4 linked regions of the Arabidopsis thaliana genome follow. The protein of the gene in region 1 interacts with the protein of each later gene in a pairwise test. Each region holds a gene or a part of one and is shown in the gene's direction. Other genes may lie near its edges. The genes, in order: AT2G39100, MAP70-5, AT4G01090 and WOX12.

Region 1 (6,737 bases):
AGCAAAGAGTTCCAGCGCCCCTGAGTAACAAAAAAATATTACACCATATCCAGTAAAGCAAGCATCAGATTGCAGAATTTCCCACAAATAAAATGCAAGAAATGAAATCTACAAGGTTAAAAAAAAAGAACTAAATGCCTTATTTCATCCATTGTAGGCATAGGCATCCCAAAAAGAAAAGAGAGCTACCTTTGTAAGCATGCGAAGCAACACAACACTGGGCCTCTACATAACGCTGTGAAAACAAAGAAAAATTACCGAAAAAGACAAAGAAGAAAATAGATTTTATTGCCAGGTATGCTACAACATGAAACCAATGAAACATCCATCCAAGAAAAGTTATGTGGAGTATTAGTTTCCTGGTTAAATAGTCGAGCTTCTACTAACACAAGAACATCAAAGCACTACTTTGTTAAAGGGAATAATACTATTAAGACGATTTATTCACTTTCCACACATGAACAGCTTGAAGACAGAATTCTTAGAATCATTATATATGAAGTCGTATTCGGGGGAAAATAGTTGATAAAATAAGATTCTAACTCACGTACAATAATCAGCTTGGCGGCATGATTAATGAGTGTACTTTCAAACAATTTTCAACGTTGTAAATCCTGTTAAAGAGTAAGCTTACTTGCAACCAGCGGGTAGGATCTATCTGATCGAGTGAAACCTTTGCACTTCTATTTGAAGTCTGAAATGAACAAATGACACAACAAATTACAAAGTTGTATGGATTTCACACAGAAAAGGTAATTGCAAAATAGAGAGAAAGAGGTGCAAAACACATTTGAAGAAGTGGTGAAAGAAATCTCGTAGAAAGGGACACCTGAGTAAACGATGATATGATATCCTTTGCACTAACTCCCAGTTCAGCTAAACCTATGACGGCTTCAAGTACATAAGGACACTGCCTGCAGAGATTAAAGATTATATATATGTTTACTATGTGTTGAATTGGTATTTAACGTAAAAAGTGAGATATTATAACAGTGTTTCTATGCTAGGAAATGTTGGGAAAGAAAACGAAAAACAGACCTTAAACACTCTTTATAAAAAGCAATAGCACCACGGTTGTATCCAGAATTTCGATGAAGCTTTGCCATCAGTATATTCATCTCTAAGCTCCTGGTCTTGACAGATTCCATCTGGCAAAGAAATAACAAGTGCAAAAATAGATTATAGCTAAGCAGACCATGGCTTTATCATCCCTAATACCTACATGCAGTGTTGGAAGGAATCCAATTAGTTTACTTGTTTTGTAATATGGATTTGCATTGATGGGAGCAGGTCAACGCAACAAAATTCAACTCACATTCAGGAATACTATAACAATGCATTAGTTACGGCCCAAGAATGTTTCACTGAAATTACAGTTACTTAACTCTGGTTATAAAATACAATAGCAAGACATAAAAGTCATCCTATACAAAACCAATCTATAATCTTAGAAATAGAGAAATCCCTAGACAGCTCTTTTACCGTCTCATACACACATATTTTATTTTCTATATACCAAAGTTTCTAGACCAACAAATCCAGAAGACTAAATAAATCTTGAAAACCAGACAAACAGATGACACTCATACCTCAGCAATCGCAGCTTTTGTTTCATTAAGAGCAAAGTGAGATGAAGCAATCTTGAATCTCACCTAAAAGGAAAGTTAGAAAAAGAAGATGCACATGAACTCCAATGAAATTAAACCAAACCACATCACTTTCTGGAAACTGCAACACAGTTATTTACCTCGTTCTCATTAATAGCAGAAATGCTGGAGGCATTCACAGATGATCTGGTAGATAAAGATAATGAACTCCTCGAAATACCGGAGCTTTGCTTCGGAATCCTTGTGTAATGATGCAACGCTTGCTTGTACGTATGCTGACAAAAAGAAGGAATACATATTCAGAATTTCGAGATGACTTCAAAGTAATCCACAGGAAAAGAATAAGCAATACAAATATAAAACTTATCTCTGCTCACTCCATAAATTCATATAATCAGAATCTTTACAATTTTATCATAATCCAGTCAAATTCAAGTTCCGAGAATGATTTATAGAGTTCAAATTTGAGGCAGAACTAAACTATCGAGAACTGAGTAACATTTCCTTCACAGCAAAAGAGAAACATAAAGAATGAAACTTTTGAGAACTTACAATAGCTCTCCGGTGTTCTCTCTGATGAAATAAAGCATCACCCAGTAGAATCTGATTAAAAAACACAGAAAGAATCTAACTTCAATCTAACGGACTCAGCAGCTACTAAAATAGAAAATATCGACGGAGAAAGAAGCTTAACCAAATTCTCCGCCTTGAGCTGAGGACTAGTTTCGGCACTAACAGTAGGAGAAGAAACGAGAAAGCAGCCCTGGATTTAGTTGCATATATAGAGAGAATTTCATTAGCTCTTGATGAAAACTAGGGATTTAGAAAAAAAGAGATAGACAATCAAAATGAGCTAAAAGCTAGAGAAGTTACGAGCATTTCAGCAGAATCGTAAAGCCCATGCTCTATTAAAGTCGCGATCTGCTCCTTTGGAACCTCCATTTCAGAGACAAGAGAGTTCGTCGTTAGTGGCAATGGTGAAGTTTTTTCTTCGGAGCAGCGATGAAGTAAAAGATCCTTCACGCTCGCTCTTCATTTTGAAACAAGAAATCTCGAACCGAGTCAACCCAAACCGACATTAACCGGTTATCTATCTGAAATCCATCTCGGTTCATTAAAACCCGACTTTTCCAAGAGCCCGACTTCACCGAACAATCTCTATCTCCGGTCATGCCTCCATTACCGTCCTCCACGGCGCCTTCGTCTTCGAGACATCTTCGATCGCCGGAAAGTATCGCGAAATTTGCAGGGAGAGCAATATTTCCTGCTTTACAGGGGAAATCGTGTCCGATATGCCTCGAAAATCTAACCGAGCGAAGATCCGCCGCCGTGATCACGGTGTGCAAGCACGGATACTGCCTTGCTTGTATTCGGAAGTGGAGCAGCTTCAAGAGGAATTGTCCTCTTTGTAACACTCGTTTTGATTCCTGGTTTATCGTTAGTGATTTTGCTTCTAGAAAATACCATAAGGAGCAATTACCAATTCTTCGTGATCGTGAGACTTTAACTTATCATCGGAATAATCCTTCCGATCGCCGGAGGTTATCTCTCTCTCTAAGATCCTCTCTATGAAGTTAAAAATCACTTCTTTATTATATTCACTTGGTTATTATTTCATTAGGATAATTCAAAGGTCGAGGGATGTTTTGGAAAACTCTAGCTCAAGATCAAGGCCATTGCCATGGCGGAGATCATTTGGACGACCAGGTTCAGTTCCTGATTCTGTTATCTTCCAGCGAAAGCTTCAGTGGCGAGCTAGGTTGGTTTACTATTGATTCTAACTCTATAGCTTCATTTGCAATCTCCTTTTTCGAAGTGTTAGATTAGTTCGCCGTTGTTTCTAACTAGTGTTGGCTCTAAATACAGCATATACACTAAGCAATTACGAGCTGTTCGATTACATTCAAGGCGCTTGGAACTAGTAAGTTTCATTATACAATGTGTTCTTCTCTGTTTGATGTTTGTAGTATTGGGGTTTACACTCTTACATTATTGGATATATGTTCACATTGGAAGCCTTATATATACCTGCTTCGTTGTGTCATCTTGGATTATTGTAGAGTTTGGCGGTGAATGATTACACCAAAGCAAAGATAACTGAAAGAATTGAGCCATGGATTAGAAGAGAGCTTCAGGCAGTCCTTGGAGATCCTGATCCCTCAGTTATTGTTCATTTTGCGTCAGCTCTTTTCATCAAAAGGCTTGAGAGAGAGAATAATCGACAAACCGGGCAGACCGGGATGTTGGTGGAAGATGAAGTCTCCTCTCTTCGAAAATTCTTGTCTGATAAGGTGGATATATTTTGGCATGAACTAAGGTAAGATTTTTATACGCTAGGGTTTTTTCAGAGTTTCAAGTAGTTACAGGTTTAGTATAGTAGTACAGAAAACACATAGGCAACCTAAACCTAGTGACTTGTAAGTCTGAACAGATGATAGAGCTGATATCTGTTTGGTTTAGGTTTTTTGGTCATATACTATTTCTGATGAGAAAGAAAACATTTTTCAGATGTTTTGCGGAGAGTATACTCACGATGGAGACTTATGATGCAGTGGTTGAATACAATGAGGTGGAGTAATAGCAGTAAAAAAAACAGGTAAAGAAATTAGGATATGTATTATGTGGGTTTGGTTTCACTAAGTAGGAACCTGTTTTGCTTCGATGGTTTTTTTTCTGAAGTCATTATGTTGTATTCGCTTGCAGATAACCGAGCACTATGCTCTCGTCAAATGAAGTAAATAGACAGACTTACAACGCGACTGTTGGTGTCTTGGAAGTTCAATAGTGGAAAGACTGGACCAAGTAAGAGAAACCAAGAGTTAAAGAGTAGGTAGGAGGAAGATGTTGAGATGATGCAAGTTTAGGTGTGGAGTTAGTTTTGAGATAGCTATAGGTGGATTCTCAAATAGCTGACACTTAGTCTCTCTACTTCCATAATGTACGTCTCTTCTATACCAAAAATTCTCACCCCCAAAGTTTCTTTCCAACGCTTTTCCTCACCTCATCATTTTTTCTTACGTTTCGAGTACCACCTATTTCAACAACATTAAATATTTTCTATAATTTGACTATCAATTTTTAATAAATTAAAACTATACATAGTTTTAGATAAATTACACGAAGCTTCCATAGAAGAGGAAAGTTCATTTGAATTTCTCTTCTAAACCGTACCTTAAAGATTAAATGGTGAATATACACGGGGAAATTTTTTTAATAAACAACGCGTTCTCTATTAAGGTATTGATTGATATAAGTAAGCAAGCGGGTGTAACACAAAATAAAATATTATAAAAGGCTTCTTCTATAGGTTGGTAAGCGGCAATCCAGCTGCCATTGCCTATTTGACTTCCCCCATTCGATCATGGTGAGCTCGTCTTCTCTCTTCTCCTCTTATCTCTTTCTCTACCATTTTCTTTTGCTTTAAAGCTCTCTCAATCATGATCATGAAGACCCCCATCACAGCATTCCATTCATCCTCATGAATAATTCTACATCAGGTTTCTTCTCTTTCCCTTTCTGATTCTCAACACTCTTACCACATTTCTACTTTTGTGTTGTATATCGATTTTTGTTCTACATTCTTCCAAATGTCAGGGAATCTAGTTGAAATGTGATGATTTTTGTGTTGATAACTTGATATCTGGTATGGATTGAATGATTGGTGATTATCTCTGTTAATTCATCTCTGATCGTGTTTCTGTTTGTGTTGACTTGGAATGTGGACCTGGTTTGGATAGTGAAGAGGCTGGTTTCATCTAAGGCAATGAAATGTTTCTACTTCAGCAAAGACAAAACTCAGGATGATGAAGCTAAGACTAGAAAGTTTGGTTCAGCTACGATGGCTAGAGGAGGATCAGGGTCTGAGTTTAATTCAGATACAAGTACTGCTACTTCCATTACTTCTTCCTTGCACGTCCTCTCAGAGACACACAGTAATAATCTCAAAGTATTTGTCCTCGATGACCTTAAAACCGCTACCAAGAACTTCAGCCGCTCCTTGATGATCGGTGAAGGTGGCTTTGGTGGTGTCTTTCGTGGCGTGATTCAGAACCCTCAAGATTCTCGTAAAAAGATTGATATTGCAGTTAAACAACTTAGTAGAAGAGGTCTACAGGCAAGCAAATCTTTTTCTCTCTCTTTAGTTTGCTTCTGTTTTACACAACCTCCTTCAGTACCCAACAATAAAAACAACTACGTATGCATTAACAGGGGCATAAAGAATGGGTGACAGAGGTAAATGTATTGGGAGTAGTGGAGCATCCGAATCTGGTGAAGCTGATCGGTTATTGCGCTGAGGATGATGAGAGAGGGATCCAACGGCTACTTGTTTACGAATACGTACAAAACAGAAGTGTTCAAGACCATTTATCCAATCGTTTTATAGTCACTCCTCTTCCTTGGTCCACCAGACTGAAGATTGCTCAAGACACTGCTAGAGGACTCGCTTATCTTCATCAAGGCATGGAGTTTCAGGTATCTTCTCCATCCATGATCACAAATGCCTTTAAACCTTTTTCATATGTTCTTGAAACTATACTCATCTTATATGCAGATCATCTTTAGGGATTTCAAATCCTCTAATATCCTTCTTGATGAGAACTGGAATGCAAAACTCTCGGATTTCGGACTGGCTCGAATGGGTCCTTCAGATGGAATCACTCACGTTTCCACCGCGGTACGCTACGCCTTACTTGTTATGTCTCCATTGATTGTTTGAAACAATTGAAGTCTTACCAAACTATGAATCTACAGGTTGTAGGGACCATTGGTTATGCAGCACCGGAATACATCCAAACAGGACACCTCACGGCTAAGAGCGACGTGTGGAGCTACGGAATCTTTTTATATGAACTCATCACAGGAAGACGACCTTTTGACCGTAACCGCCCAAGAAACGAGCAGAACATCTTGGAGTGGATCAGACCACACTTATCCGACATAAAGAAGTTCAAAATGATCATCGACCCAAGACTTGAAGGAAACTACTACCTCAAGTCAGCATTAAAGCTAGCTGCAGTTGCTAACCGGTGTTTGATGGTAAAAGCGAAAGCAAGGCCAACAATGAGTCAGGTTTCAGAGATGTTAGAAAGGATAGTGGAAACATCATCAGATGGTGCTCCTTCAGGACTG
Region 2 (7,933 bases), on another chromosome or scaffold:
GTAGAGAGTGATTTGGCTAAAAGAAGATTGATTCAGGAGCTGTGTAGTGTATTGCTGGGGTTTTTCCAATGCAAACGTCTCAGAAACATCACAGTGCGGCTGGACTGCACATGCTGTATCCTCAAGTCTACTGTTCACCTCAGTTTCAAGCGAAAGACAACAAAGGCTTCTCTGATATCCCGTCCAAAGAAAACTTTTTTACCCTCGAATCCTCCACTGCTTCTGGTAGTCTTCCTTCGTATGACTCTCCTTCTGTGAGCATTACATCTGGCCGGAGCCCGTTTTCTCCTCAGGGCTCTCAGTCTTGCATCTCGGATCTCCATCATTCCCCTGACAACGTCTATGGATCACCTTTGAGTGGGGTGTCATCTCTTGCCTATGATGAAGCTGGAGTCAAGAGTAAGATTCGGGAACTTGAGGTCTCGCTGCTGAGTGGTGATACAAAAGTTGAAGAATTCTCAGGTTTTAGCCCCGCTGCTGGGAAGTCGTGGAACTGGGATGAACTTTTGGCTTTGACTCCACAGTTGGACTTGAAAGAGGTGCTGGTGGAGGCTGCTCGGGCAGTCGCTGATGGGGATTTCGCTACAGCGTATGGATTCCTTGATGTCTTGGAACAGATGGTGTCAGTCTCAGGCAGTCCGATCCAACGGCTAGGCACTTACATGGCAGAAGGGCTTAGAGCGAGGCTTGAGGGGTCTGGGAGCAATATATACAAATCCTTGAAATGCAATGAACCAACGGGAAGGGAACTGATGTCTTACATGAGTGTTCTCTATGAAATCTGCCCCTACTGGAAATTCGCGTACACAACTGCGAATGTTGAGATCTTGGAAGCAATAGCTGGGGAAACCAGAGTCCACATTATCGATTTTCAGATTGCACAGGGATCACAATACATGTTTTTGATTCAGGAGCTTGCGAAACGCCCTGGTGGGCCGCCGTTGCTGCGTGTGACGGGTGTGGATGATTCACAGTCCACCTATGCTCGTGGGGGAGGACTCAGCTTGGTAGGTGAGAGGCTTGCAACTTTGGCGCAGTCATGTGGTGTCCCGTTTGAGTTTCACGATGCCATCATGTCTGGGTGCAAGGTGCAGCGGGAACATCTCGGGTTGGAACCTGGCTTTGCTGTTGTTGTGAACTTCCCATATGTATTACACCACATGCCAGACGAGAGCGTAAGTGTTGAAAATCACAGAGACAGGCTGCTGCATCTGATCAAGAGCCTCTCCCCAAAACTGGTTACTCTAGTAGAGCAAGAATCCAACACAAACACCTCGCCATTCCTGTCACGGTTTGTGGAAACACTGGATTACTACACAGCGATGTTTGAGTCGATAGATGCAGCACGGCCACGGGATGATAAGCAGAGAATCAGCGCAGAACAACACTGTGTAGCAAGAGACATAGTGAACATGATAGCATGTGAGGAGTCAGAGAGAGTAGAGAGACACGAGGTACTGGGGATATGGAGGGTCAGAATGATGATGGCTGGGTTCACGGGTTGGCCGGTCAGCACATCTGCAGCGTTTGCAGCGAGTGAGATGCTGAAAGCTTATGACAAAAACTACAAACTGGGAGGCCATGAAGGAGCGCTCTACCTCTTCTGGAAGAGACGACCCATGGCTACATGTTCCGTGTGGAAGCCAAACCCAAACTAGATTGGGTAAGTTATAGTGATGATGGTTACTTGAGTGGATAAAGAAGAGCACAACAAAAACACATCTGTCGCTGTAAATTTTTTAGGATGTGCAATGATGTTTTAAGTTGTAACACAACCTAAGTTATATATGTATACAAACCAAACCTGGTGGTTGTTTTTCTCTTGTAAATTGTCATGTGGTTGTGGGTGGGTTGCTAGTAATGAAATATAACCAAAACATTGATTAGGTCATTTTATGATCTTCTTCTATATATACCGGTATAAGTCAACTGGCGGCTGAACAAAGGTCGTGAGGTAACAAAATATGAGACAAATCTACAGGTCAGATTGGGTTCTGAATTCTGATAAGGTCTTAAAAAGGAGCTCACCAACCCACAAAACCATGGATTGAACAAGTACAGGTCATTGCCTTCATTTTATTCTTTACTTTTCTAAGGCTCAAGCTTCCTTTATTGCCTTTAATAACAATATACTAATGAGTATTTTGCACTCAGTAACAAAATTCAGGAGAGTAATTTTTTGCCCTAACATGTTACTTTTATGTGTTAAGAGTTTAGAATTTTGGATCTATGATTTTAGTTTTTGTTAGGGAATCATATTCATATAAATAAAATATTGCCATTGACTTAATTGTTGTTATTCACCTAATTTCTCTCCAAATTTGGTCATTTACCTCAGTTGATTCTATATTATACTTGCTAAGTGTTCTTTGTCTAATTCTCTATCATTGTTTGATTTAATAATAACCAAACCTTAAGACTTGGAAGCAAAGAAGAGAGAAAATCCCAATTAATTTTTAATAATTCAAAGAGAGATATTGAGTGACTTCCACTAATACAAAGAAAGCTTGGTTTGTGCAATATTTTGCGGTTAAGCTATTAATTGCTGAGGCAACACCTTTTCACACTTTGCTTTCCTTCTTCCAAGTTTTCAACTTTTCTTTCTTACTCTTTCTATTAATCAAACTGCAACACAAAAATCATTTGGATAATACATGTTTAGAAGATGATTAAGCTTTAGTTTTATTTCAAGATTATCATAATTGTTATCTGTTGTTACCTACATTCATATAATCTTATCAAAAACGATAAAGACAAAAAGGGGATACAATATAGGTTTTTATTATAAAGAAACAGGAAAGAAAGAAAAGGGTTTTCACCAAACGAAATTAGTTCAATCATTTAAATTATCTTTATCCTTATGATTAGTGTCTTTATATCTGTCATATGCTGCTTCTCCTTCCAACTTCCTTTGGATTATATTCTCTTCTCTTTATTTTAATTTCCATTTGTGGTAGCTGTTTTATTTTTTGTATTTTCACGCCGTGTCCCTTTAAAATAATATTAACTACACCACTAATGTTGGAACATGAAAAACATGAATGAGGTAATTATGATGATGAACCAAATGTTAAGGACAAGCTCGGTGTAACTAAGAAGATAATTAGTGAAACAGAACAAGTCAATAACTTGTAAGCATTTCAGAATTGAAAATAAAGATAAGGGAGGATGAATATGAATTTAGTAAATGGGTAATGAAAGTGAAAGAAGAAGAGGGAAGGGTTGGTTACTGTCTCAAGGGTTTGAAATGGAGACGGTTGCTTGAGAATGAGGAAAAAGAGTTAGTAAGTTTTTAACTCTCTCTTTCTCTCTCCCTCTCTCTTTTTCAACGTCAATTCCTTTAAGGAATGGCCTCTCTCTCTCTCTGAAAGTGTGTGTGTATATATTAAACGACTCCATTTCTCCTCTGCTTAGACCAAAACTCATCTTCTATACTGCAACAAAGAAGGAGGAGCCGTTGAGACTACAAAATGACTGCAGCAGAAAACCCTTTTGTATCTGACACCTCTTCTCTGCAAAGCCAGCTTAAAGGTTCTTATTTTTCTTTCTGTTTATTGTTCATCAACCCTTATGAGTAATTTGCTTGATGTTGAGGTTGTTCTGCTTTCTTTTAATTCCACTCTGCAGAAAAAGAGAAAGAGCTTTTGGCTGCTAAAGCTGAAGTTGAGGCTTTGAGAACAAATGAAGAGCTCAAAGACAGAGTCTTTAAGGAGGTAACATGCATGATGATCATCAACTCTGTTTGTGATTGTTCTACAAAAACTTTAAGTCAATCTTACCTATAAGTTTTTTTGATCAATGTTTTCCATATTCAAACTGTCCTTTTTGAGCTTCTTGAGCTCTATTGATGCTACTTGGTGTTGTTTCAGCTTAGAGAAAACGTGAGGAAGTTGGAGGAGAAACTTGGAGCCACCGAGAATCAAGTTGACCAAAAGGTGAGGTTTTGCTCAAATACTATAGACCATCTTTGTGAAGGACTCATGTCAAAACATTAGAAATGACTAGAATAAGTTAAGCTTGTGACATGATTGTAGGAGTTGGAGAGGAAGAAGCTAGAAGAAGAGAAGGAAGATGCATTGGCGGCACAGGACGCTGCAGAAGAAGCACTAAGGAGGGTTTACACTCACCAACAGGACGATGACTCTCTACCCCTAGAATCCATCATAGCTCCTCTTGAATCTCAGATCAAGATTCACAAGCATGAGGTTCTTAAGACTATATGTATTTCAAATTTCTTTCTTGTATCAGTGTGAAGTGCCAGATTTTCTTGACATGCTACTGTTTGACAGATTTCTGCACTTCAAGAGGACAAGAAAGCGTTGGAACGTCTAACAAAATCAAAAGAATCGGCGCTTCTTGAAGCAGAGAGAATCTTGAGAAGTGCCCTTGAACGTGCTTTGATTGTTGAAGAGGTCCAGAACCATAACTTTGAACTTCGACGACAGATTGAGATATGCCAGGATGAGAACAAGTTTCTTGAGAAAATTAACCGCCAGAAAGTGTTGGAGATTGAGAAGCTCTCCCAAAGCATTGTAGAACTGGAGGAAGCGATCTTGGCAGGAGGAACAGCCGCCAATGCAGTTCGAGACTATCGCCGCCAAATCTCCCAGCTCAATGCAAGTGTTCTGTTTAGTTTCTTGTACTTCATTCTCACATTTGTTTTAAAGGAAAATCACATGATTTTTTCATCGTTACCAGGATGAGAAGAGAACCTTAGAGAGAGAGCTAGCCAGAGTCAAAGTGTCAGCAAGTAGAGTGGCACTTGCAGTTGCTAACGAGTGGAAAGATGAGAACGATAGAGTCATGCCTGTAAAGCAATGGCTTGAAGAGAGAAGGATTCTCCATGTACTCACTGCTTTTCACTTACACATCCAGTTAATACACACTGACTAGCTTATATGGGAAACATTAGTGTTGAACTTTGTGTCTGTGTGCAGGGAGAAATGCAGAAATTGAAAGATAAACTCGCTGTTTCCGAGAGAACCGCTAAGGCTGAGTCCCAGCTAAAGGTGATTGCTTATGTAGTTAATATTCTGTTGGTAAAAAGTGTAGTTTCTAATGCAAGTAAACATTATAGGAGAGGTTAAAGCTTAGGCTGAAAACCATAGAAGATGGCTTGAAGGGCCCAAACACGTTTTTCGTCTCTCCAACTACAAAGACTGAAAAATCTGGCAAGATTTTAGGATTCTTGACCAGTGGTGGTGGCTCAAAGAAAAGGTCTAGTTCTCAGCTAAGAGGCTCAGTTACAGGCAGAATCCATGCTATGAATCAGCCAATTGACAGAGTTGGGGAAAGTGATGAAATGGAGAATTCAAAGATTACTGCAAACGGATTGACTGATCAACATGAAGAAGATAGCGAAAGGAAAACAGAGGAAGATGGAAATGTTTATTCTGAAGATATGGTTTCAGGGTTTTTATATGACAGGCTTCAGAAGGAAGTGATTGCTTTAAGGAAGCTATGTGAGAGTAAAGAGGGTACTATAAATGCCAAAAATGAAGAAATCAAGGTAACTTCATCATCTTCTTGTGGTTGTTTAAGATCCTCAACTATATGAAACCTCTTAAGATACCTCTGTTTTTAGATGTTGTTGAAGAAGGTGGATGCTCTAACGAAAGCCATTGAAGTTGAGACAAAGAAGGCAAAGAGGGAAGCCGCAGCGAGAGAAAAGGAAAACGCATTGGCAATGTTGAATGAAGAGTCAAAACTATGTAGAAAGGCAAAACTACCGAGAAGGTTTGGTCATCACATCCTTTGTTGTTTGTCTTTGTCTTTTGAGAAGTATACATAGTCAAACATCAAGACAGTTGATATTTATATGTTTATGCTATGTTGTGCAGCCGCATACCCAATCCACGTTGCCAGTAGAGGAAGAAGAAGCTTATGGGATTGAATACTAAAGAATATGGTCTAATGTTAGGTTGTACTGTACATATTGAGTATTGGATGATGGATTATAAGAAAGTGAAAACTAAAGATCAAGAGATGTGTATGTGTGTTATGTATATCGGATTGCAAAGCCATGTTTCCAGATGATGACACAAAACTCCTCTCTCTTCTCCTACCAATTAGTTGAATGTTAGCAATTATCTTGGAAACCTATAAGTAAATCAGAATCAGCTAAACACAAAAACATGCATATTCTCTCTCAAAGTCATACATAACCATATATGTCTTCTCTCAGATTTTTTGGTCTTGCCTTGGTTGTTAGGCTAACATAACAAACTTTGCATCTAATATATATATCATAATCAGTTACAGGATCGTATGATCTCTGTAGTAGCAAGAAGATCCAAGCTTGAAGAAAACATAAATTTTATTATATACAAGAAGAGCATGAAGAACAAGATTTACAAAGACTATCTCTCTTTCTCACAAGAAGTGAGAAGGAACCATATAGAAATAAAGTCAGGACTGATCTTTCCTAGCAAGATTAATTTACAGTCTCTTTTACATGGTGCTCTCTTGTAAGGTGATATTTCCAGCTGTATAGACACGAGAGCCGTTGGAAGAGGAGAGGAGTTGAATACCTCTGTGAATCTTGGAAGAGCATCGATACGGTTTAGGGACAGAGAGTGTTTTAATGATACAAGCCTTGTCTAAGTCAGGAATCGCGTGGAGGTGAGAAGGAAGATCGATGACGAATTGCCCCAACTCATTTGTCACAGCTTTGATCCATTTAGATCTCCTCCTATGTCCAGTATGGCACTTGAAGCCAATAGTAGCTCCTGTATGATGATGATGATGTGTTAGAAATCTCGTAGTATATAATATAAGGAATACGGACCAATCCACTTATTACCAACTGGTTACGTACCATGAATAGGGGAGGAGGAGGAAGAGAGAAGAGAGGCGGTGAGAAGAACAGAGGAGAGTTTTTGTTCGCCGTAGCCAGCCATCTCCACCATCTCATCTCTGCTCCATCTATCACTAAATGCTTCCCCAAACGTCACAATTAATACCAACGTCATGCTCATCAACAAGAACCTCATCTTTAATCTTCAAGGTCGTATATATGTGAAAAACTACCAACTGGCTTAGAAATGGAACAAGCAAGGATGTGTTATATATATACACACACAAAAATGAATGGATTAGTTGAATAAATTAAGAATATGAGATCCTTATTTTGCTTTTTTATAAGTAAAAATGCCTCTTCCATAATTTGACTTTTATCTTTTTTGGTCAAATTATATGACTCCTTAATTATATATCTCCTTGCTTATATAATAGTAGAAATTACTTGTTTGCCTAATCCTTCTTTCTTCTTCTTCTTTTCTTCTTCTAGTTAATAAATTTGATCAATCTTTGATCAATCTTTGGTCAAATATCAGTACGGTATGCGACGTTTCTTCTTTACAAATGTCTTTATTTTTTTAATATTATGTTTCAAAGTCTAACCTAAATTTAAAGTCACAATTGACAAATAATCAAGCCTGCCCCAACTGTTTTTCTTTTCTTCTAGACATTTGTCTTTGTCCCAAAGACAACTTTTTTGGGAGAGTTCTTGTGTGGGTTGGTTATCAATAATCTCTCCAAGGATAAATACAAAAATGTTTATTTGAATGATGTGTCTATGATGACCTATCAATATTATAATTTCATTCAATCTCTATTTATTGCATTTTCTCAATTATAACTACACAAAAAGATCAACAATTTCACATAATTATAGTGTTATCTTTAACTAAAAAGTGCATCAGGCTTTTATTATTTATAGCCAATATATATATATATATATATATATAAATATATAATTGTATATTTCATTGTTATATATATATATAATTGTATATGTCATTGTTATGTAATTGTGATAGTTACCAAGAAGGAAATATCTAATTGTTATTTTTAAAGTAGAGTTATTTTTTTTGTTGACGTATCAATGCAATATATATAGTTTTGTTAATTAAATTATTTTCTATAGATAATT
Region 3 (8,153 bases), on another chromosome or scaffold:
CAACGATTACGATCCCTAGAGATTTCTTCACAAGTTTTTAATTCGATCTCTCAACGAATAACAAAACCCTAAGAGAAATCTCCGATTAGAAGTGAAAATGGAGAAGAGAGATCAAAGCACTTCTCGAAAGCACAAATCTAAGCCCCTCTTTGTGTTGTGTCCCGGCGGCGATGATAAAAGCCAAAAGACACAACCTACTGATTAAGCCTGAATCATAACGACGCCGTTTTAATGGCACATTTCTGTTGTGAAATATTTGCAAACCAACCCCTTGACTTAATCATGTTTTGTAAAATAGCCCTTTTACTTCGAAATGTGCGAAATTATTCTTCATTTGATTAAAAATCTGCACGTCAGCGGTGAAGTTGAGTGTGTGGCGATTAGTAGCCGCATTTGTGATTTTTTCTTTTTAGTGATATTTAATTATGTTCAACGTCACCTATCTTTTAAGTTCTTAAAAGGTTAAAGATTTAAACAATTATACACTTGATATTATATTTAAGAGGTTAAGGATTTAAAAACAAAAAAAAACAGTTTTAAAATGTTGTACACTCGAATTTCGACACTCTCGTTATTCAATTGTTAAAGAAGTTAGTGTAGAAAAAAAAGTTAAGAATTTTAAGTCAAGGGGTGTATGCAGAAACAATTGTTAGTTTAAGGATTTGTTTGCAAAGTTTTCTTATGATGTGGTACCATCAGGTGTTATCTAACGCGCGTTACTAAGTGCGTAAGATATACTCTCTCCATATATGTACGCCACGTGATAATGGTACAACTGTGTTAGTGCTTGATCCCGTTTGGTCAGTATGATCCATTTGTTTGGTTACTTCTTCCAGTCTTTGTAATACTAGTAAGTTTTCGTAACCACATCAATTTTGGGATCATAAAAAAAGTTGAAATACTTTCACACTACATACTTCACAGACTGTAAATTAGTTCTATCTATATTTTTATCTAAATATTGTTGGGCTTAATATGGAAGGAACGACAAAAAGATAAAATAATTTTCCCAAAAAAATTATTTTTGTTAAGTATAGCGGAGAGAGATTTTAACTTTTTCCAAGATGATATCGGGTTTGAATGATAACCACAATAATAATAGTATAGCTTTGTATAACTTTGAAAGTTACCAATCACAAAAACTTTATCAAAAGTGTTATTAAAAGTTTTATACTCACCTTTTTTTAATAATTTCTTTGTATAGTTCCTTCTAACAGCTTTGCACTATTCCGATAAATCTAACAGCTAAAAATCTTGTATACCTTTTGGTTACCAATCAGACCCATCATATAATGTATAAGAAAATTGCAACTATGCCATCAATCTTGTTTCTTGTCTTTTCATGTTTTGGAGGGTCCATACTCAAAACAACAAATCAATATCGAGTTTTTATGTTTAGTTATATACACTATCATTACTTTCAAAACAAAGAAAAAAGCCTTTAACAAAAAAACAAGTGGGTGTGTATAAAAGTAGATGTCGGACCACAGTTGATAAGAATCAAATACCGAAAGCCTTATGGCTATTATTCTATGTGATAATTATGTAGATCACACATAAAAAAAGTTCACCAGCTCATTACTCATACTCACTTACATGATCAAGTTCAAATTATTAAAATGTAAAAGTCTTCATGTAAACAAATCGGGCCGTTCTAAGCCCATATAATGAAGCCTGTTATGCACCTAAACAAATAGGGCCCTTTTATCAATTAGGGAAAGAATTACGGGCCTAAACAGCTCAGAAGTTCTGTCAATTAAACTCTGTGTTTCCTTAGTCTAATAACTAACCGATAAAATAGGTAGTAAAAAAGTCAACGATAGTTATCCCAAAAATGCAATGTTAATATTTTTGTCAAATCTGATTGGTGTTGGAAAGTGGACTATCTATAAATCCATCTTTAAATGATAGACAGAGACACAGAGTAGAAGACTTTACAGCTGTACGTAGCTTTTTGTATAAACCACAAAAATAGTCAGAAGGCGACCTACACTATGTGATCATATAACACTCCCCATATATCTTTCAAGTCTTCGTTTACGAGGTTAATATTTTTCAACGTTTAGGATCCAGGTTTCTTTTAGATTCAAGTTGTGAATTAGAAAACAAACAAAAGAAGAAGTTTTGAGAGCACGTCTTCTAACATGGAAGCATTAAACTTGACGTATTTTTATGGACTATATTAATCGATATGCTGGGAGGATGATGAAAAAATAAAGAATTTATATATAAATATTAGTTATTTAGGTAAGTATGAAAGATAAATAATATATAAACCAAAAAATTTTTTTTAAAAAAATTAATTACAAAAATGCTATTGAATAAAAATAATTGTAATATTCGGATGATAAGTATATAATTATTTGTTTAATGTTTTAAAAACTATGATATCGCGATAAGTTTATAAATTATTTGTTAAAACATATTTATCGATTTAAAATTGTAAATCAGAATTTTTTATTTATGTATATTCAGCACAATAAAAGGAAATTAGACTTTTTTATATAATTAACATGATAATAATTATAACTACATGATATATAGAATGATAACATGCTAATATATTATATAACAGAATAATATTTATATGAAAACGTTAAGATATTCGATACATGAATAATGTTTACTGTAACGGATAATTTATACATAATATTTACTAATAATTGTTAACGAGGTTAACCTGATGATAACAATGAAAATATTTAGTAACAAAACAATATATGAGACTTTAATTAAAAAAAAGAAAAATACAGAAGAATAATAAAGTAACTTCATTAGTTCTTTTACTGTTGAAATAGTCCACAATTCCTACACCTAATTTTTCAGTCTTCTGAGCATATAAAGTGATATTTTCCTATTTTTATTTACTTTTTAATTGTATTATAATAATATTTGGGTATTTTTGGTTATTATAATAATATCTGAAAATATTATTGATATTTTTGGTTATTTTTATATTTTTACTAAAACAACCGAACCGATCCGAATCCGAACCAAAATCGAACCAAGTTTTTAGAATATCTGAATGGTTCTCAACCTCTTCATATCCGAATAGATTTGATATCCAAAAAAGAACCAAACAGATAGGGATACCCGAATGACCAGACCTAGTATTATTGATATAAAAAAGGTTGCTCAATGTATAATTTCATTTGACTAGCTGGTCTGTTTTCGTACAAACACACTCACAAAAGTACGAAAATAGGAAGTCGTCTTAGTTTTAGAAAATAACTATTGCTGCTTATTGGCATATATTGAAAAATCAAATACTACTAGTAATCGTAAGTTCTAAATTTGAATGTTTTTTTCCCGAGTAATTGAATTGTTCTTAGTAATTAAGTTCACAAATTTGGAAAATTGCGATATCTGAGAACGTATTAATTTACCTGTCGGTAAACAGTCACACTCATGTTTCTAGATTTCGTATATTTTAGTAATAATTTGGTTAGTCTCCTTATCTGCGAGTCAACGAGACCCGGTCCGCTCAACCGTACTACAGTCTAAATTCTAGTTTCACGCGCTTACTTACATTACATACGCGCTCATCTCTTCTTTACTCAAAAGTTTTAAAAAACGAATATCAAATCAACGCTAACAAAGTTTGATTTTTTGCTTCCATCTTCTTCCCCTCCTTAAGTTTTCAAATCTATTCATCAAATTTTCTTTTGTCTTTCCCTTAAGATTCCCGGGAAAGCCAAGGAAAAACGCTAGAAGAAAATTAACATAATAATGTTAATTGTTGCTTAAACCTTCCAGCTCAAGTTTGGTAGTAAGTAAGCAGACATTTAATCCCCCAAGAAGCAATTGAAGAAGACTTTTAATTCTTCTGAATTTTCTTTCCAAAAACCCCTTTTTAGAAAATTGGTTGCATCATAGAGATTGGTTCATTTATTCCCACCGGAGAAGATCATCAAATTCGTCTTCTCACCTATATCGCCGACGACATTCTTCACGGTTCGTTTGATTTCTACCTGTTGGTTCTTCGTTTTATCTGAATTCAATCGGAGATATATGTTTTTGAGTTCGAATTTGATAAAAAATCGAAACTTTTTTGATTTGAATCGCAGTTGGAAAAAAACAAAGCAAAACCCTAGAAATAGTGGCTGATGAGGTCGCGAGGCGATGTCTCTGAAGCAGAAGGTACGAGATCAGATGCTGGTTCTTCAAGAAGCGAAGAAGAAACGAGTCTGAAGGAGAAACACTCAAATTCGCGAGCTGGGTCTCAAAGATCTGGAAAAAGCTTGAGAAATGACGAGCCTAATTACGGATCAGATTCTTCATCTAAGAACACAAGCAGCAGCAACAACCCTATTGAGTATACAGAGCATGAACGAGCTGAGCTTTTAAGAAGGTTAGATTCTATCAAAGATCATCTACTTCGCGGTGGTGGTGGTGGTAATAATGTAGTTGATAAACCTAAAGAACCAGATCAGAATCAGCCTTTCCTTAGACCAGTTCATCTTCATGGTCATGCTAATCATAATCCTGGTCCTTCTTATTACCATCAGTATCCAGAACCTATTCAATACCCTGGACCGGTTCATGGAATGTATCCTCAAGCTTATCAAGATCCTTATGGGTACCAAAGAAGACCACCTCCAGTTCCTAATCCAAACTGGTATCCTCCTGGTCATTACCCTAATCAGATGGCTCGTCAGTATCCTGGAGGTCAATATGTTGAACTTGGTCCTGATATAGTTGAGCCACATTCTTACTATCCAGCTACTCCTGGTAGGTACGGTGACCTGCCTCCGTATAGCCCGGTTTCGTCTCACCATCGTGAAGAGAAACTCGCTACACAGTACAGTGATATGCCTCCGTATAGCCCGGTTTCGTCTCACCATCGTGGCGAGAAACTCACGACACCGTATAGTCCACGTGTTAATAACGGTTCGAGTTTTCCTTCTTCGATGGGCACTCCAGGTCCTCGAGGTGGTTATGCAAGGTGGCCGAGTGAACATGATTCTGAAATGGGCGGTGCTTTTGCTCGTGGGTATGTTAAGAAAGCTGTATCGGATACTGGTGTTCGACGTTGTCATCCTCTTGCTGGTGGTGCTCCTTTTATAGCTTGTCATAGTTGCTTTGAGCTGCTTTACTTGCCTAAGAAGAAGCTTTTGTCTCAGGAAAGGTTACATAAGCTGCAGTGCGGTGCTTGTTCTGAAGTTATTAGTTTCACAATCGTTGATAGGAAACTCGTTTTCTCTTCTGGTAATGAGGAAACAAAACCGGTCTCTCTAGAGGTTGAAGATAGAAACACAACAAACACAGTAGTGATAGAGGAGGAAGTCTCTTCTGTTGATTTCAACAGCTCAGGTAGAGATATTCCACGTAAGGATGAAGAAGAACCAGTGCAAGAACTGAGAAATCATCAGGATACTATTACTACGCAAAGCGTCCGCTCTGAATCTCAACACTCAGATGATGAAGAAAGATCGAGCAATTCTAGTGAACAACAACAGAAGGAGGTCAAATCTGTTCGTCGGCGAGGTAAAGGGTCAAAAGCACCTGAACCCGCTGCTCCTGATAATGCCAGTCTCCTTGAACTTTTTGAGTATTCTAATGTAAACAGAGCTGCACTCGCTTATGGAATGGCGCAGTTAGGTTATGAAAAGCCAGATAAGCAAAAGTCTTTCATGACACAGGACTCGCTGAAACCAGAATCAGTAGCTACAGAGACAGAGGTTTCTTACAATGGATACTCTAACACCGAGATCTCAGAAGATTCAAGGTACTCAAACAGAAAGGGTAGTGAGTACGGTTCGACAGAGATCACAACGAGGTCCTCTACTGATCAAAACGAAGACCAGATGAAGTCATTAGAGGTTTGGGTTAATGGACATCTTATACCAGAAGATCTTGTTAGCAGTGCTGAGAAATTAGCTGGACCAATCCAAGCTGGAAAGTATTGGTACTTCCATGAACTTCAGCATCCACTGTTTCTCTCTTGTTTTTGTTTTTCCCTTTACTCAGTTTCTGATACATGTCTCTGATTCAGGTATGATTACCGAGCTGGGTTCTGGGGAGTGATGGGCAAACCGTGTCTCGGTATAATACCTGTAAGTACCTTCACATTGTTCTCTCAAGTTGATTATTGGAATGGTGTCATCAAATTGATGAAGAAATGGTTGACTTACTTGTTGTTGTTGCAGCCATTTATTGAAGAGTTTAGCCATCCAATGCTGGATAACTGCGCTGCAGGAAACACAGACGTGTTTGTGAATGGAAGAGAGCTTCACAAGAGAGATTTCGAGTTACTTGTGGGTCGTGGTCTGCCTAGAGACAAGAACCGTTCTTACATTGTTGATATATCAGGAAGAATCCTTGATCAAGATTCAGGAGAAGAACTTCACAGCCTTGGCAAATTAGCCCCAACGTAAGCAGATTCACACAAATGATTTTTATTCTTTTGAGATTTTGAGATCACCTAAGATTCTAAAGTTTTAGTGTGTTAAACTTGAAACAGGATTGAGAAAGTGAAGCATGGATTTGGTATGAGAGTTCCAAGATCATTAGCTTCATGAAAACTCCCCCTAGTAACAACTACACAACCAAAATATGATTCTGCTTCTTGTTTCCATCTTCATATTATTTATTTGTTAAACACAACTGTAAAGTGTTTTTTACATCTTGATTTTGATTTTTGGTATTCTTTTTAAAATATCTTTGGGGAAATGTCTGTATGTTTTTTATTGCGACCAGAACCGGTTTAGGGGTTATAGACTGTATACAAACCGGGTTCTCTCGGTACAAGGTTTGTGCTTTGTATTATTTCCATTTTTTTATGGAATGATATTAGTTTGCTCTTAATGACTTTTTTTTTTATCTCTTTTATTGCTCTTTTGTAAGTTGTAACAGAAGCTTCATCGATAACATGGTTTACTCCTCCTAATTCCTTATTATCTCTGGTTTAACTAAATCGTTTATTTAAACCGGTTTTGGTTTGTAGGTTTCTTTCATGTCAGCAACAATATATGTAGGTCATTCGACCATACTCAACAATTCAATTAAACAATGTTCTCCTAGCTGATCTTTCTTTCTTCATGATTAGCTTCTAGGCTTGATTTGCCCTTTCCTCGAGTTCTAGGTGAATTATGGATTGGGATTATCTATCTATCGGTTAGTTATCCGGTTTCATCTTTCTTTCCACTAAAATGTTCATATTGTCTGCTAATTCCTCTCTTGGCTGATGGACTAGTTTTTGCACGTTTCTGAAGTGGGTCCTTCCTAAAATACAAGACAACAGATTATAACTTACTCATGGGCCCAATATCAATATCAATATCAAACAAGAAAGAGAATCTGTTCTTAACAGGCCTCGTGGTCCGTTCGTTTAGTTTTCATGTTTCAATATTTCTTAGAAAAATACAAAATTAGAGTAAGAACAAAAAGATACTAACTAGTAGCGAGCATGAGAAAAACGAGTAAGCAGAAGTTGTCCACTAATAATAAAATTGTGAGGAATCAAGAAATTCTCAATACAAAAAAATTTTAGCAATGAAGAAATAAAATAAAATATTATTAGCAATAATTGGAGTCACTAGAATGTTTCATATCTCTTTATATACTAACACTAGTGTTAGTTCATTCACGCAAATGTTAAAAACCAATTCTACCATTGTTAAACTTATACCAAATATTTAAACTAGTTACCTGCATCATTCTAATAACTAATAAGTCTCATGAATTCACAAACATAGCAATGTTTTGAATAACCCAATATATCATCAAAAAGTGTGGTGCTTCCGTGTTTGCTAAGTTCCAAGATTCAAGAGAAAGGTTGATATTGTTGTAACGAAAGGCTGTGGAGATACAAGTATACCACCTAAGTTGAGATAAAAGGTGTGAGGACCAAAAGCAGGGCATGTGCTTCTTCACATAAATTAAAAGAAAAAAACTCAAGTTATTACTAATATGTGATTAATAAACACAAGGACAATGAGACCATCTGGGCTGGTCCAACATATTTTTGGATTCCTCAAGCAAAGTTGAAAAAAAAAAACTTTTCTGAATTTTTTAATCAGAATTTCACTATCAAAAGTCATAATTGTAAAAAACAAATCCTGAAATATTCTTTATTCCATTTCCAATATATATTGCTGTCACAAAGAAATCTACAAAAATATTTGTTATAACTTAAAAGAATGCCCAACAAT
Region 4 (9,113 bases), on another chromosome or scaffold:
GTCAAAAAAGAAAAACACAAACATATTCATGCATTTTTGGTGAGTATAATAATATGGGCTTTGACGACAACAAAAAAAAGGATAATAATAGTAATATGGGCTTTGAGATGGGCTAAGTTATAACTAAGTAAAGCATCCCAGCTTTTAATGGGGCCTCTTTACTGTCCAACACCTTTTAGTAAGCATTTTTAGCTGAAGACTCGCATACATCTACAAATTTGTACGTCGCCAAAATTTATTTTCTAGTTATACATATATTAAATGTTAGCACCTATTTTCTTGATGTAATTTCATTCACTTTCACTCTCCGTAGACCGTAGCTATAATCGTTTAGCCTATTCTCAAGCAAAGGAGTCTTTGACTTCTCTTGTAATTGGCCTGGCCAAAGTTTAATGTATATATCACACTTTGCACCCCAAAAAGCACCTATTTTCTTACAAAATATGATAAATCATTTTGCACACAATATTATGTTTGTGGAATACCTGAAAACCTAAAAAAATCATTGGAATAATAGCCTCATGATTAACTTAATTTCGATAAACCTGGTGAAAAAATGTTAGAAAACCGTCCTTCGATAAAGAAAGAACCGGCCTTTTTTTTTGCACACAATATTATGTTTGTGGAATACCTGAAAACCTAAAAAAATCATTGGAATAATAGCCTCATGATTAACTTAATTTCGATAAACCTGATGAAAAAATGCTAGAAAACCGTCCTTCGATAAAGAAAGAACCGGCCTTTTTTTTTGCACACAATATTATGTTTGTGGAATACCTGAAAACCTAAAAAAATCATTGGAATAATAGCCTCATGATTAACTTACGATAAACCTGGTGAAAAAATGCTAGAAAATCGTCCTTCGATAAAAAAAGAACCGGCCTTTTTTTTTTGCACACAATATTATGTTTGTGGGTGAGATAAATATCTAGGTGATAGGTCACTCTATCAAATATTTGTCCGTACAATAAAATGGATTAATTAAGGATTGTGTGCAAAAGTGGAGTGAGAAGTGAATAAAAAATTTGGCTTTTGACTATAAATATTAGATAATGAGTAAAATGTGTATACTTCCCTATATTCAGATAGAGTAAAAAGAAAAGCGATCGTCATGTGTATTGTCAGGATGCATGCATATCAAAATTATAATGACATATGTGTTCTCTATTTCCCCTATATTAATTTTGTCTTCTTTCTAGTTACTTTTAGTGCCCCTATGAGTGCTCTGCAGATTCACCGGCCAAATCAACAAAACTTGCTTCATATGCATCAGCTCTATTTGTGTAAACTAACTTACAATGTTGATTGAAATCTTTTTTTTGTTAATTATATGTTCATATATAAAATCTTTTTTTTGTTAATTATATGTTCATATATACACTGCTCTATATATTCTTTATGCAACATAATGATGCATATATATATATATATATATAACCATTTAAGCTATTTTATACTACAAGTTTTGCATAGAATCGAATACAGTTTGAGATTTTAAAGATTTTAAATTTATTTTCACGAAAGCACACGAAAAGTGATCAAATGCACTTGTCACGGTTATGCTTGCCGTTCTGCAGTAGCATTAGTTTTTCTTCTGGTTATTAATGGTTAATTGTATTGCTAAAGAATAAATATTGTTTAATACAAACGCAGAACCTTTAGTGATTATTTACACACTACATATGTCCAACACATCTTCTCATACATATTATAATAAAGGGTATGTCTTAGTAACATCATGCAGGTATATAATGGGAGAGTCCGTACCGTACATGTTACAGAGCAGGACCACATAAGAAAGATTTCTGAAGAAAGAAGTCTCAAAATCTTACAAGATTTTGGTCTTCAGGACCACAAAGAGAGTGGCTTAAAGGTAACTTTTGTGAATCCTCGTACAGTTTCTGCCTGATCCCTAGGGGTCTACTTTATTCTTACTATAAGACTTTTACCAATGTCAATTTTTTATTTTCTAATACGTCATGACGTATTGTGGGCAAGATATTAACTGCAGAGTAGCTAGAGACTCATTTGTATTTTAATCCTAGACGTCTTATATATGAATCTAATAAGTATTATTTTATTATATGATACTCCGTTTTTGAGGATTTTAATATATCAATTTATCTGTTTAGTTTAACAAAACATATATATAGGTCCATTACTAAGTGAGTTTTGGACCAGTGGCGAGTTTTCGGATCCTCCAAACATTATAACGTTATTGAGCTTCCTAATTCGATTCCACTTGACATGAAGACAAAAAAAAATTCAACGAGAAAATATAGGGATTTTGGCTCATAACTATTCGATTAACACGTGTTCAGAAAAAAAAACTAATCGATTAACCGTAGTTAGTTATAAAAGATTTAAGTGCATCAATATATGTAATATGTATATATTGGGTTTTACTTCAAGTCTCCAACGTCCCAAAAGCAATTTTGGGATTGTGGTTTTGGATGATGGGAAGTGGATAGAGATCGTATAATTTGTCTGTGTATGGTTACAATGGCCCTTAAGAAATTCAATAGAACGTAACATAAAAAAGGAAGAAAAAAGGACAAGGAGCTAGAGAAGTTATAAAAGACAAGTAATACCCAGTTGTATCAAATCAGTCGCACTCGGTAATATAAAAATGTGTTTTTAAATAATTGCATAATCTTTTACCGCTTACAATATATGCATGATGTAAGAAAAAAAGAAAAAAAAAAACAGCTGTGCAGCAGACGTAAGTTATTTAGCTGTTTTGATTCCTTTTATTTTAAAGAAGTCACGGGATGATTAGTTCACACTACTGCTAGTAGTAGTTTGGCTGTTTCCTCATGGGCATGAATTCTAAAAGGGAATTCTAAAACCTAGCAAAACAAATATTATAAAAATTTCAGTAAAAGTGTGTATATATTAAGAGTGGTAGGTCTAATTTATGAGTATCCGATTAGGTTGTTGTAGATCAAGATTAGACTACCAGTACCTATTCACGGATAAAAAAAAATTCATTAGAGATTCTTAACCAAAAATATCACTAACAATTTAAGATTAGAGAATTTTGAAAAAAAAAAAAAAAACACGCCGGATAACTTGATGGTTATTATTTTAAAAGGTTGCCATGTGAAAAAAAAAAAAAAAAAAAACAAGATAAAGTAAAGGTACAAAGAAAACTTGTTTTTTTTTTGTTAATATCAGCATATATTATATGCATGTTTGAATATTGATGTAAACACACAATAACAACATTAACACACATGACATATGTACTTTTAGTAAGATATAAGATCTTACTAAAATAAAAAAAAGTATGAAAATTAAATATACAGATACTTGAACTTTTTTAGAGAATTAAAAAAAAATTGAAACAGCTAAGCAATTAACATAAATCGTCAAAAAACCAGAATGCATCTGAAAGAAACAGATTGTCGCCTCTTGTATCTTTCAACACTCTTAAAACTTTTAACGTATATTATATTTGCATACGTACATGCACACTAACCAATACGTACACATACGGTACACGGACAGCTTTATTATCAAATAAAAGGCGGTAGTTAAAAAATAAATATTATTAATATTGTACTCTAAAATCAAACGTTAAATGTTATTGTCAAAAAAGGAGTATAAATCATTTTATCAAATCAATTTTTATAGAGTTGATTCGTGACATAGCTTACAATTTTTATTTTCTTCTTTAATTCGAGTTTTGGATTTAATAGTTTAAAACACGTTAAAAAGACAATGATTTGAGTTAAAAAAGAAGAAGACAATGATGCTTTAATCATGAAACAGATACAACGTTAGATTTTATTATTTTTACATCTGCTCGTAACGAAAAAGTTCTATAAAATTTTAGCTGTTTTATCTTTCTTCTGAAAAATTATCGTATAATATTTTAATGGATTTAAATATACACCAGCTAAAATAAGGTCTATCCGATCATATAGCGACGTGATCAGGATACTTAAGTTCCATTTTAATCCAGTATTTAATTTGTATTCTAAAATAAACGCAAACGAATTCTAAAATGTAATGGACTAAAGATATATTGATTGCTGTACCACCTTGAACTAATAAGTAATTCTCGTGGATATACTAGTAAAGTACTTTTCATTGGTCATTGGTCAGATACAACGCAAACGTAACTTGGAACACTAAATTCAAAGGTGAAACAAAATCCTAAGTATCTATTTCTTGTCATTTTTATTGTTAGTTTATAAATTCTCGCTCAACTATGATATATTTAAATAAATTCTATTATATTAATTATTACATGATTTTTTCGAGTTAAATATTTAAAAATGACTCTACGTAGTACGTACATAGATTTTTGATCGGCTAATGTTGTTATATATGTGCATGAGGTATTCCCAAACTTGTCATATCAATCAAAATCTCAATCAAAGACAAGTTCTACTTGACAAACAAAATCTTTTTGGCCTCTGTAACTCTGTTGCATGACGTCGATAATCTATTGTCCACATTTATATCTAAAAAGCAACCAGATCGCCCGAGGTTTGTACAATTATTTGCTATTTAATAAAGATAAATTTATGAATAACTTGCTAAACATCTTGATCATATCTACAGCAGAAAGCAAGACAAATAATAACCGGTGTTTTCACAATTGCATGTATAATCATATTTTGCTATACGAATTTGCAAATTTTATACATTTTTTGGGGTGTGAATATTATCAATCCGAGAACACAGATAAAAGTTGTATTGTAAATTCAAAACTGAGAAAAACGTTAACCAGGGTTTGTTTGTGAGTTGGTCCAATAATGCAATGGTGGAAGCATTTCTTGTTAGTTTTGTTATACAATCAAATGATATACAAGAACAGTTTTTAACCCTCTGCCTCTCGGAATACGTGTTAACATATTCGACCGTGTCCTATATAATATTTAATTCTAAGTGAGAGCACTAAAATAGTGTAACTTAATATTTAAGGAAAACAAAAAAGAACTCATTGAGAATCTCTCTTCTGTATATATTCAATACATATTACATAAATCTTCCCTCAAGTAACCACAACATCTCCTTTCTCTTTTTCTTAAAATCCATAATCCAACCAAAAGAAGAAAAAAAAACAAGAATCTTGATAGCAAATGAATCAAGAAGGTGCTTCACATAGCCCATCCTCCACTTCCACCGAACCAGTCCGGGCACGTTGGTCACCTAAACCGGAGCAAATCTTGATACTCGAATCCATCTTCAACAGTGGTACTGTTAACCCACCAAAAGATGAAACGGTGAGGATAAGAAAGATGCTTGAGAAATTCGGTGCTGTGGGAGACGCAAACGTCTTCTACTGGTTTCAAAACCGACGGTCAAGATCTCGCCGGAGACACCGGCAGCTTTTAGCAGCCACCACCGCAGCCGCCACCTCCATAGGAGCTGAAGACCACCAGCACATGACGGCCATGAGCATGCATCAATATCCTTGCAGCAACAACGAGATTGATTTGGGGTTTGGAAGTTGTAGCAACTTATCAGCTAATTACTTCCTTAATGGATCGTCGTCATCTCAAATCCCTTCCTTTTTCCTCGGCCTCTCTTCTTCAAGTGGTGGGTGTGAGAACAACAATGGTATGGAGAATCTCTTCAAAATGTATGGCCATGAATCTGATCATAATCATCAGCAGCAGCATCATAGCTCAAATGCTGCATCAGTTTTAAACCCATCTGATCAAAACTCCAACTCCCAATACGAACAAGGTGAATCATTCATTCATCTGCATGGCTCATATTTTTTTTTAACACCGTAATACACATTGAGTTTTTAGATCTTAAACCGGGATACTTTCCAACTAAATCAACATTTTTCAAACCATTTAAACTATAAATATTTGGATGAGTAATTTTTATATAAATAAAATTTTGAAAGTGAAAAAGAAAGAGCCAACCATTTTTTCTATGAGGGTTTAAAACCAAATTTTTATGTTAGGCTAACTTTGTATGTTGAAAGCTAATTCTCAAATCTCTATTTTTGTTCTTGTATCTATTGTTCTTTTCTTTTTTTCCAGAAGGGTTTATGACGGTGTTTATAAACGGAGTTCCTATGGAAGTAACAAAAGGAGCAATAGACATGAAAACAATGTTCGGTGATGATTCGGTGTTACTTCATTCCTCTGGTCTTCCTCTTCCCACTGATGAGTTTGGTTTCTTGATGCATTCTTTACAACATGGACAAACTTATTTCCTGGTAACTAATAATATATAATTCACTTTTTATTGTTAATTTATACACGATAACAAAATGCTCATGGTTAATATTTTCATTAATGATTTCCACACCTATTTTCTGTTTAAAACTTTTTTTTTGTTCATCCGAAAACGATTTTCTCATGATTAAATTCATTATTTTTACCATTGTTTGACCCAACAAACCATAGTTATATTTGTAAATAAAATACCATAAGATATTATGTGTATTTCCTATTAAATTAGTATGTTAAAGTGTGTAGAAAATGGTCTTAAGCCTAATAAATAGTCAAGTCCTAATGTCTGCAGAAATTAACCTCAAGAACCCATCTCACTCTCTGGAACTATAACATAAAAATATTTCTGCAGAAAATATAATAAAATATAAATCAATTTGATGTTTGTCGGTTTATGCATGTAATAAATGAATATCGTTTTTGTAGAAATTAATATCTGTAACTGAAGTTTTGTGATTTAACTAAGCTTTACGGATTGATGCAGCTCATATATATGGATGTATATATGTGACCTTTTTTATTTGGTCCAAGTTTTGATAAATATAAATATGTAGTATATATTATTTATTTTTAAAAATAAAGAATATAGCCAAAAACACAAGAACCAATAACTCCACTTTTGAGTAATTTTGTAAAATATTGAGTTCATTGGTCGAAGAGACCTTGGGAATTTATATTCTCTCTTGGCAAATGAATAGACGGTGTCTTTGCTCAAAAAAAGAAGAAAAAAGAATAGACGGTGGATATATAAAATGATGTTAAACCATTTCTCGTTAGGGTTTTCATTTTTCAATATTATCAGTAATTAGTGAACTAGCAGTTTTAAGAATTAAAATGCTCTAATTATTCCCTAATTAAGAATCTGTTTTTATTTGTTTTCCTTTTGTCATCGACAGGTACCGAGACAGACATGAACTGGCTGTTTTATGTGGGAACATATACGGTCGATTGTTTTCTTTTTTACCTCTATTGATTTCGTGTCTATCGTGTATAATTAGATTACAAATAAGTAATAATAAAAAGATTAAATAAATGTTGGACTCGTCAGATATTTTGCTTTCTTGTCGATTCTTGCTCGCCTGAACACAAACCTTATCTATCAAAACAAGCCAAATCTTAATATTTTTTTTTTCCACAGCCAAATCTTAATTAGAGATCTAGTTTGTGGAAAAAAGATGTCCCTCGGACTTGATATATTTAAAGATAATCCAAAAAATTAAACTGGTATGTACAAAAATCTTGATTTTTCGATGTAAATAGATCATCTTAGTACATAGCTGATCTAATCTATTTATCCAATGGATGAAAGGTATTAAGGTACTTTATACCATTCTCGATCGAGGATTATTATTTCTGTTTATCCTAGAGGATAACATTTAACATATCTTATCAAGTGAACATTTTTAATTTCTTAACTAACCAAGTGAACAATTAAACGAACAAAAAGAACTAAATGAATGACGGAATGAGAGAGCCAAAAGTAAAGTGTGTAAGTAATATGATTATGATTTTTTTTTTAAACAGAAAAATCAAATATAATGATTTAAATGCGAATCATAATCATATCACTAACAAAGTGCGTATATTTCTATATATGAATAGCAATTTGTAAAGTACACTAGTACAAATACAGTACTCGACACAGATCGCTAGTTACCATTTTTTCTTCTTGGGGATGTCAATTTTGTGAACTTGATATAATAATGAAAGAAGGGTAGGGTTTTTTTTTTTTTTTTTTTTGAACAGAGAAAGAAGGGTAGGGTTAAGTTCAAAATTACGACAAGAAACGAGTAAGCCCACTTCTATGTGAGCTTTTTGGACCCTTTGTAAATGAAAGGTACGTCTATATATGGGTTTCTTTTGTAGTCCTAGGCCCAACTTAACAATGTAGCTGGTATCCGATAATAGGGATCCGAGCCGAGCCGAGTAATTGAGATTTTAAATTTAAACAAGAACTCATTTCCCACGTTGATTATTTACTTAGAAATTCCTGAATTATTTATATATGTGACATTCCAAAAATAGCAGATAACATCCTTCATGTAATGCACTATAAAATGCAATAGGTTTATGATCAAAGCTTGTAATTTACCAACAAAAATAACTCGCTGGTTTTAGTTACTGCTATTGTTTCATAATCTATGTTAAATTTGCGTGTGTGAGTAAGGAAAATTGCAATATTTTATGAACACTTATTCTAATTCTACAGAAAAGAGGTTGATTATATATTCAACTTTTTATTTTACTTCTAGGTTTTGTTTTTGTTTTCAGTTTTCCCTCATACCGCTTACTTCTTCCAAAACCCAAATTAAGATGTTAAACAAACATGCCTAATTAACCAGGAAAAATAGAAGAAACTAAAGCCATTTCTTATCTCACAATTCCTCAGCATTGAACCCTAGCTCTGCAACTAATTAATCAGGAAGCTCCAACTCCAAGAAAATCAAAGTAGTAATAGCCACTCCTCATCTTCATCTCCACCTTTCTTTCACTGACTGAGATTGTGTGGTGATTTTGATGGTCCATCTTTTTACCATATATGCCATTTACTTCTGCTCTCTGCACACACTGACCATCTTTGCCTGCAAAATTAGAAAAATAAGTTCTCAGCACCCACGTGAAATTTTGTTATATTGAAATAGTAACGTGACAATAGTACTTCACCTCCTTATATTATTATGCCTATAGGTACTCTTACGATGTAAAAACAGTTTCTTTCTTTTCTAGTCATTCAAATTTATAATTATTGCCATGTATATGAAAAAGTGTAGGAAGTGGTCACTCGTCGTCGGTTATACAACATGTCGGCCTAAATTATCATTTTATATGCTTTGAACATTCAAAAATTAACAAGACTGGAATCTAATAAGCTAAATTTAGACCACAAATGATATTTGGAAGTACCGG

Evidence for each region.
Region 2: the proteins of AT2G39100 (region 1) and MAP70-5 interact in a two-hybrid assay, tested with the Arabidopsis thaliana proteins (one large-scale study listed by BioGRID).
Region 3: the proteins of AT2G39100 (region 1) and AT4G01090 interact in a two-hybrid assay, tested with the Arabidopsis thaliana proteins (one large-scale study listed by BioGRID).
Region 4: the proteins of AT2G39100 (region 1) and WOX12 interact in a two-hybrid assay, tested with the Arabidopsis thaliana proteins (one large-scale study listed by BioGRID).

The regions. Positions count from the first base shown.
Region 1 is NC_003071.7:16,314,685-16,321,421, forward strand, and holds AT2G39100 (RING/U-box superfamily protein), read left to right. Parts: upstream 1-2,671; 5' UTR 2,672-2,777; coding exon 2,778-3,148; intron 3,149-3,228; coding exon 3,229-3,366; intron 3,367-3,473; coding exon 3,474-3,528; intron 3,529-3,667; coding exon 3,668-3,924; intron 3,925-4,115; coding exon 4,116-4,185; 3' UTR 4,186-4,203; intron 4,204-4,310; 3' UTR 4,311-4,703; downstream 4,704-6,737. Other genes in the region: APC7 (tetratricopeptide repeat (TPR)-containing protein), read right to left, coding at 1-20, 190-235, 635-694, 830-914, 1,039-1,148, 1,590-1,652, 1,748-1,882, 2,160-2,210 and 2 more; AT2G39110 (Protein kinase superfamily protein), read left to right, coding at 5,086-5,104, 5,345-5,721, 5,817-6,080, 6,160-6,282, 6,360-6,737.
Region 2 is NC_003075.7:9,654,943-9,662,875, reverse strand, and holds MAP70-5 (microtubule-associated proteins 70-5), read left to right. Parts: upstream 1-3,299; 5' UTR 3,300-3,470; coding exon 3,471-3,531; intron 3,532-3,627; coding exon 3,628-3,713; intron 3,714-3,869; coding exon 3,870-3,935; intron 3,936-4,034; coding exon 4,035-4,205; intron 4,206-4,289; coding exon 4,290-4,616; intron 4,617-4,698; coding exon 4,699-4,845; intron 4,846-4,937; coding exon 4,938-5,009; intron 5,010-5,077; coding exon 5,078-5,509; intron 5,510-5,584; coding exon 5,585-5,736; intron 5,737-5,840; coding exon 5,841-5,868; 3' UTR 5,869-6,224; downstream 6,225-7,933. Other genes in the region: SCL13 (SCARECROW-like 13), read left to right, coding at 69-1,658; AT4G17215 (Pollen Ole e 1 allergen and extensin family protein), read right to left, coding at 6,451-6,728, 6,818-6,992. UniProt on the Arabidopsis thaliana protein: Plant-specific protein that interact with microtubules and regulates microtubule dynamics. May play a role in anisotropic cell expansion and organ growth.
Region 3 is NC_003075.7:469,202-477,354, reverse strand, and holds AT4G01090 (hypothetical protein (DUF3133)), read left to right. Parts: upstream 1-3,475; 5' UTR 3,476-3,954; intron 3,955-4,067; 5' UTR 4,068-4,106; coding exon 4,107-5,908; intron 5,909-5,995; coding exon 5,996-6,056; intron 6,057-6,149; coding exon 6,150-6,373; intron 6,374-6,463; coding exon 6,464-6,521; 3' UTR 6,522-6,849; downstream 6,850-8,153.
Region 4 is NC_003076.8:5,878,583-5,887,695, reverse strand, and holds WOX12 (WUSCHEL related homeobox 12), read left to right. Parts: upstream 1-2,925; 5' UTR 2,926-3,134; intron 3,135-4,942; exon of another isoform or gene 4,943-5,066; 5' UTR 5,067-5,093; coding exon 5,094-5,703; intron 5,704-6,011; coding exon 6,012-6,190; intron 6,191-7,102; coding exon 7,103-7,120; 3' UTR 7,121-7,253; downstream 7,254-9,113. Other genes in the region: MYB56 (myb domain protein 56), read right to left, coding at 8,625-8,788. UniProt on the Arabidopsis thaliana protein: Transcription factor which may be involved in developmental processes.